2 linked regions of the Oryzias latipes genome follow. The protein of the gene in region 1 purifies or fractionates together with the protein of each later gene. This does not show direct contact. Links are inferred from orthologs where the notes say so. Each region holds a gene or a part of one and is shown in the gene's direction. Other genes may lie near its edges.

What was found. Proteins that work in one complex are often made in the same cells at the same time.
Region 2: the proteins of llgl1 (region 1) and pard6b purify together in Homo sapiens (affinity purification with mass spectrometry; 5 studies listed by BioGRID and IntAct, counting the BioPlex papers as one, with this or other methods). This does not show direct contact. The link is inferred for Oryzias latipes from reciprocal best matches to the Homo sapiens genes LLGL1 and PARD6B.

Annotation. Positions count from the first base shown.
Region 1 is NC_019866.2:18,056,707-18,060,221, forward strand, and holds part of llgl1 (lethal(2) giant larvae protein homolog 1), read left to right. Parts: intron 1-36; coding exon 37-191; intron 192-276; coding exon 277-497; intron 498-2,473; coding exon 2,474-2,541; intron 2,542-2,904; coding exon 2,905-3,097; intron 3,098-3,515. UniProt on the Homo sapiens protein: Cortical cytoskeleton protein found in a complex involved in maintaining cell polarity and epithelial integrity. Involved in the regulation of mitotic spindle orientation, proliferation, differentiation and tissue organization of neuroepithelial cells.
Region 2 is NC_019865.2:4,514,985-4,519,065, reverse strand, and holds the start of pard6b (partitioning defective 6 homolog beta), read left to right. Parts: upstream 1-1,280; 5' UTR 1,281-1,594; coding exon 1,595-1,657; intron 1,658-2,777; coding exon 2,778-3,000; intron 3,001-4,081. UniProt on the Homo sapiens protein: Adapter protein involved in asymmetrical cell division and cell polarization processes. Probably involved in formation of epithelial tight junctions.

The DNA of each region.
Region 1 (3,515 bases):
ATACCTCTGCAAATAGGGTCCTCTGCTTCTCTCTAGTTCCCCGGTGATCTTATATAGTGGAGGAATGCCACGAGCCAGCTATGGAGACCGTCACTGTCTAACCATCCAGCAGGACAAAGAGCATGTCACTCTGGACTTCACATCTCGAGTGATCGATTTCTTTACTGTCCACAACATGGACAACGACAAAGGTAAGAATCCAAGCAGATATAAATCCTTTCACTTTTATTCTGTTTTGGATCTTAAATGTCCTGCCTTCTGTCTTCCCGCCCTCAGAGTTTGACGACCCATCGGCTCTCGTTGTGCTTCTGGAGGAGGAGCTGGTTGTGATTGACCTGCTGACCCCCGGTTGGCCCTCGCTGCCCACTCCTTACCTCGCTCCCCTTCACTCGTCAGCTATCACGTGCTCCTGTCACGTCACAAACGTCTCCACCAAGCTGTGGGAGCGGCTGATCAACGCCGGCAAAGCACAACAGAGCCGGCGCCACACACACAGAGTGAGAACAGCCAAAGGAACGTCTATCAGCCAAAGTCAGGATTAGTTTGTAAATCGGTTTAAACAGGTATTCAGTTTCCTCTTTACAATGCAAGAGGCTTAACATTTTTAAACACAGTATGGTTTGTGACCTTTCTGCTTCTATACATTCTTCTTATGTAAGTCAACTAACAAATCATTTATTTTTAGATAGAACTAGAATCCAAAAGAACTGCTTTCAATCCATGAACTGGTTGATCTGAGTTTCTCAGCTTCTTAAAATGAAGCCACATTAACGTGACCTGAGGGTTTGAATTTATAGCGCAGATGTAAGTTGTCTGAATACTACCAAGTCTTTAAGCTTACGTCAACTGTTTGATTAGACACAGATTACACACAAACCGCTGCTACATTCATAAGTTCCATTCAATTTTATTTATATAGCCCAAAATCACAGTTGTTTTGACGGGGTTGACACCAATAATTGTTCAAAAACATAAAATCAGTCATAAAATATGAACATTAGCTAATTGCTAAACTAAACTAACTAAAACGTGTTATTCTTCTCCCAGCGTGGAGTGCGTCTGAAATGTTGACCTACTCTCCAAATTGCATCTCTCTGTGCTCTAGTAATATTCCTTGATGATCCCGACCAATAACAAAAACTTCTTAAAAAACAAAGCCATGTCCCAAGACGTTTCCCAGGAAGCCTTTTCTGAAGCCCTCAGGCCATTAAATTACACTCCAATACGCCTTGCCCTGATTGTCGGTCACAATCAGGGCAAGGCATCCTACTGCTTGAAACGCGAGGCCACCTCAAGTTTTTTACAGAGTCTTGGGGACCTTACGTAGGACCAGAGGACCAAAGAGGACGACTGGAGATGTGGTACCAAGAGTTAGGAAACATAATTAGGGGCCTGCTCATTAAGAGCTCTACGAATCAAAACTAAAATTGTAAAATCAATCCTAAAATGGATAGAATGAAAAGCATTTAAAACTGATGAAATGAGCCCTTTTTACTGGTTCCTGTTAAAAGCTTTCAAGCAGCATTTAGTACCAACAGTTGAATTAATCAAAACAAGCAAAAAGAGAAATAACAGTAATCTAAACAATATTAGATACAAGCATGAATTACAATAATGCAAGTCATCTTTAGTTCCCAATTTACTTAGTTTAGACCTGTTAATTAGGTGATAAAAATGATTTTTGAAAGACATTAATTGGTCAAATATTAGACCACGGTTTTTGATATCTACACAAGGTAGGCTTGCACAAGGAGCCCAGAGTGCCTAAGTGGTGTTTAGTAAAGAGGATGACCTCTGTGACGTAGGTTGATTAGAGATGATGGTAATTTTTTTTTCTTTTTGTTTTTTTCTCTCTGTATATTCAACTCTGTTTGGCTCAAATTAATTTATATGGTACTTTAAAATTACAGCAGTCAAATAAGGCGCCATTCTTAAACGTTTAAAAGTAAAAGGTTAATACAATTGAAAGGGGGAAAAGAATATCGGTAAGTGCCATATTGGTTTTGAGAAGTTTTTCAAAATTGGCGAGTTAGTATGTTAGCCGAATAATAAATCCTGGGGATTCTATGATTCACTTTTCCCATGATTCCGTTAAAATCTCGATTTTTGGGTCACAGTTTTGTTTCCGTTCGATATACGAGTTCTGTAAGACAAAACATTAAAAAAGTCAGTAAAATTATTTTTCACATTGCCTAATAAGCAAGTGACAATGAAGAGAAACGTTTCAATTGTTATGAAACAACATTAAATGTATTAACTTTAGCACAACACGTGTTTGACACTTTCATTATAAACTTGTGCAAACGAATGCAGTAGAGAGGCAACAATTCACTTTTCCTACAATTTGGTTCAATGGCGTAAAAAGTAGGCTTCAAGAATTGCGGCATCCGTAGTAAATATTAGCCGAAAATTGGTTTAGTCGCACGTAAATTTCTCCTGCTGCTTATAAAATCCCTAATTTCTGTTTGTCTAGAAATGGCCAATATGTGGAGGGAAGAACCTGGCACCCCCACCCAGACAACAGGAGCTGCTGCTGACAGGGTTGGTCCGCACACACGCTCACTCATCTTAGCCGCTTAGACCCTACGTTTCTGTTCGAAATCAAATTTTTTTGAAGAAATTTGAAGCTCCAAAAGTAAAAAAGACTTTTTTCACACAAACATATTCGTCATTTGATGTGGTGATGGACTAGATTACAATTAAGTGCAGACGTTTGAGATCATTTTGTCAAATAGTTTAACCTCTGCTATTTTGAAAAAATCTTATTTATTTTTTTAAATTGAAAGTAGCACTGATCTATTAGATGAGAAACCTCAAACATGAGACCTTTACCAAAATCAGATATTGAGGCAGATCTGCTGAGTCATGACTGGACAGTCCGGGGCTAAAATCTGCTTCTTGCAGGCACGAGGACGGCACTGTTCGTTTCTGGGACGCCTCAGGTGTTGCTCTGACTCCACTGTACAAACTCAGCACGGCCAACGTCTTCCACACAGACGGCGACCCGATCGATGATCCCCACGACCCCTGCGATGACCCAGAAATGCAGCAGCAGCAGGAGGAGGAGGAGGAGGAGGAGTGGCCTCCCTTTAGGAAGGTAAACAGTCGAGTTCTCCTTCCGCAGTTCAGGCGTGTTTGACTCCCTGCTGGGATGAATCCTGAAACGCCTCAGACGGTTTTCATGTGTTTGAATCTCAAACAAGCCCACTTTATTGTTCTCATTATTTAAACTTGAAACTGAATAAACTGCCTTGTAATTCTCCTTTCATTTTTTTTTTTTACATGGAGAGTTTTTATTTTAAAGCAAGCCGATAAAGTCAGACCGAGCAAACTGGTTTCAGCAAAGACAAAGAAACGGAACCAAATGAATGATGTCCAGCAGATTTTTATGGCTTGTTTTCATATTTCCTTCATCCTCCTCTTCACACTCGACGCTCCGCCTTACCCTCCTAACTCGCACATATACATGTTGTGTATCCTGTGGTAACAGAGCTGCGTGTTCAGGAATGTGGGAT
Region 2 (4,081 bases), on another chromosome or scaffold:
AAATCTACCAAAAGAGGGAGCATGTTCTGACTCAGACTGTGAGGGTATGGAAAAAAGTGAATAAATTGCAGGCATAGATAAAAACAACATTGACTTAGTTTGCAGCCATTGAAAGTCTGTTTCTATTGTAACGATCCGGCCGGACCGTCACTTTAGTGGGATAGCGAAAGCCAACTGCTCATGAAGTGGTCCTAATGGAAATCTGTCCGTGCCCCATACACCGCACGACCCCTGACAGTCTCAGGTTGGAAGAAACGTAGAGAGAGACAATATTAGCTTTTAAGCAAAAAGCCTGTTCATTCCAGCCAATATACAGCCCAAACAGCATGGATCGTGACTTCAGCTTCCAGCCCTCTGACTCAAGGTTTGACCCTAAGCTCCCCACTTCCCATGAGCCTTAGGGGCTGAAGGCGGGGCTAACCCCCAGGTCGCTACACTATCATCACTGATTTCGGTCGTCCGTCCCCGCTCTTCAACGCTCCCTCCAACCCAAATACAATCTAAACTGTTTTAACCCAAAATGACAAGTGGACTTTATCATGGCTTCACTTCTGCACCAAACTAAAATGAGAGTAAAATCCCTTAAAATTGGTTTCAATGCTTTTCTTGGTCCAATTCACCAAGTTTTCAATTTTTGGGAGCAAGTTAACTTTTTTGCTTTGCCAAAAAGCTAAAACATCTGTTTGCATTTGTCAATGGTGCCAGCTTGAGTCCAAACTTGAGATAAAATGTTTATTCCTGATCTGATTTATTTTATATGATAATTTGATTGTTTTAGCACATTTAAGGTAACCATTTATCGTGATTTTTGCCAACTTTTGCGATATGCGTATTGCACAGCTTATGTTGCGATAACGTTGCATCTGCAATTTATTGGGAAGGGCTTAATAACTTCAAGTAAAAAATATATGTATATTTTTTATTTAGTAGGAAAAAAATATTTATGGTAATAATAATAATCATACTTCATAAATTAAAAGTAAACCCATCACCCAAATTTCCTTTATTTTCCTGAAATGATGGTGTACATTTTGAATCAACGTAGACATTTTTTATTGAAAATGTAAAAAATGTTTTTTGAATGTCTGCCACTTTAAATATTATCCCTAATCCACATTATCTGTCCCTCGACGGTACAGAAATATTGTTTGTATTTATTAAAAGTTTTTCTCATGACGTCCTTGTTCAAAATAGTGATAAATATGAGTCTTATTTTGAAGTTTTAAATGTATTGAAATGTCAACGACTCTTATTTTGAAGGGCGCAGCTTTCCAGGCACTCGGAGGGCGGCTGGGCATTCAGCCGAGAAGAGTCGCAAAGACACAACCGGACGCAGCGCGAGGTCCACGCACAGCGGCAGCTATGAGACGAGAGAAGTTCACGCGCTGAGCCAGGCGGGTTGACAGCCTTCGTTGGACACTTCCGGACCGATATAAACGAACCGGCGCACGCGGAGGAGAACCGGGACGTCTTCTGCTGCTGTCGGAGAAGTGACTGGCGGACGCTTTTTTTTGGGGGGGGGGGATACGCGGCTGCGGCAGGAGGAGCGGAGAGAGAGGGTGTGCTTCGGCGGCTGTCCCGCTGCTAGCGAAACATGAACAAAAACCACCGAGTGCCGAGCAGCCGTTCTTTGAGTGCCGTGGAGGTGAAGAGCAAGGTGATCCCTGGACTCCTTTACCGTTTCCGTTCGATGTGTTTGTGATCGCAACTCCGCGGTCATTAATCTGTCACTCTTGCTAATTTAGCCTGCTAAGTAGCCCGGTACCAGATTAATGATGGCGCAAAAAAACACATGAACAAAATGTTAAACATTTTTGTGTTATTGTTTCCACAACATCGATCGAGACGTCGACGCGCCGCCAAACGTGAGAGTGGCGTCGTCGTTCTTCTCGGTGTAGTTCGAGGGTTTACGTTAACGTCAGTTGACGCCGCGGTGAGCTCGTGTCACCTGTCACCGCTTCCTCCGCCGCTCCCGCCACCCGTTCACTAAAGTTTAGAGCCGGGGTTCTTACCGCTTTTCCCTCCCGGGGGGATGGGGGGGGGGGGGGGGCATTCGCGGGACTTTTCTCATCTTTCTAGTTGATTGAAACTACCGGAGGAAGGCAGGAGCGGCTGCCCCGAACTTAGGGCGACGTCGCCCCTCCCGCGTGCACAGGTGTCATTCGGCCTGCGACAGGCCGGCTCCTTCCGCCAGAGCCTGCTTGTTGCATGATTACACACACCGTTGACAGAATAGGCTCTTTTTTTTAGCGCCTCTAAACTCGTTTTTGTTCATGTGTGCGCATGTCGACACAAACTACAACCGTCCCTCTGTTGATTCTACGGAGTTCTGCTCTACAATTTGTGTTTTGGGAGTTTTATATTTTGTTATTTGGTCATTTTCTACTCATCCCTGGTTCTATTTAGGGTGTCTCCTCCCAAAAACCTGAGCCTAACACACTTCTTTTGGTGTAAACCTGGCCAAGTTGGCACTGAATTCTCATCATCTTTTGTGGAGCTTGGCAACAGTAACCACAACAACCCGTCCGTATTCATCAACATTAGCCAGGAGACATTATAGTACAGAGTCTCTGAGCTGCACTGAAGAGCTCAGACGGCGTGTTAGAATGCAGCTTTTATAAAAAAAAAAAACTGATTAACTCTATTTACTGCATCCATGTTTCATTTAGAAACCCTATTATTCATGTTTTACAGACAATACTGGTAGTTGAACACCTACATGTTCGTATTGTAATTAATGCTGACAAAACTTTATTTTTATTTTTTTTGCGGGTCAGTTTGGTGCAGAGTTTCGTCGGTTCTCTCTGGATCGGTCGAAGCCGGGGCGCTTTGATGAGTTCTACGGCCTTCTGCAGCACGTGCACCGCATCCCCAACGTGGAGCTGTTGGTGGGCTACGCCGACGTGCACGGCGACCTGCTGCCCATCAACAACGATGACAACTACCACAAGGCCATCTCCACGGCCAACCCTCTGCTCAGGCTGTTTCTGCAGAGGAAAGGTAAGAACAGGAAGACTTTGAACTGCTCTGTGCTTGTCTGAGAGGTGAAAACTGCTCACCTGAACAGAAATGATCAAATGTATACAATGCTCTGCTGAAGGTTTCGGGATTTAAAAGGATATTTAAAGAGCCACTCCGATGAAAATGCAGTTTTTCAGCATGTTCTTGTGGCTTTTTTTTGGTGTCGGAGGACATATTCAAAGAACATTTAGCTCAAAGTTGCATTTCTGAGTATTTCTGTGTTCAAATCTATGTGAATCAGGAGCAGACAAAAAATGCTGTTTGAAAATGAGCATCTTTGTGACGCAGAAAATACACTTGGTGAGTGACAGACAAGCTCCCGCTCTGACCTCTCTGCACCAGGGAGAGGAAGCGGGGCGGGGTTGCCCCGTGCTCAGAGGCAAATTTCTAATGAACTACTGCAACCCTGCAGTAAACTATGTCCTAGAAAATGACACAAGTGTTTGGATTTGAGCAAAATTGTGACATAATCATTGTTAAAATACCACCGGGAACGCTTTGAAAATAGATCAAAAGATGGAAGGCGGCTTTAGAAACAGGGGTTTTATTAATTTGTTAAATTGATAATGCATTGGAGAGCCATGTTTAGCTGTAATCATAGATCTGGATGCTTTCCGAAACCTTTTTGTTTGTTTTCCAGCTCTGACCGGAGTATTTCTAGGTTTGAAACTTAAAAAAAAATGTTTGGAAAAATGTCCTCACTTCTTTTTAATACTTTTTTTTAGAAGTAGATGTTTGGATTTTGTGTTCTGCTCCTGTGCTGTTGAGCATTTCCAGGAAATGGTGTTGAAAAATGAGGATTTTTTTTTTTTTTTTTTTTTACCATCTGTCTCCTTGGGGTCAAATTTGACCCTCCTTTCGGGTTTTTAAACTTACTTGGCAACTGGGGAGTTTCCGAGCGTGACCTGTTGAACGTCCCCGCCCCCCTGGGTGTGCTTGATCGGGGCAAACCTCGTGTGTTTAAGCCGTCCCGCTGTGCCATATGACTGTATAGAGGCTAAGCCACTTTGTCAGGAGGAGATTAGTGGGGGTCACCGTGCAGTGCTGCATGGGACGGTGT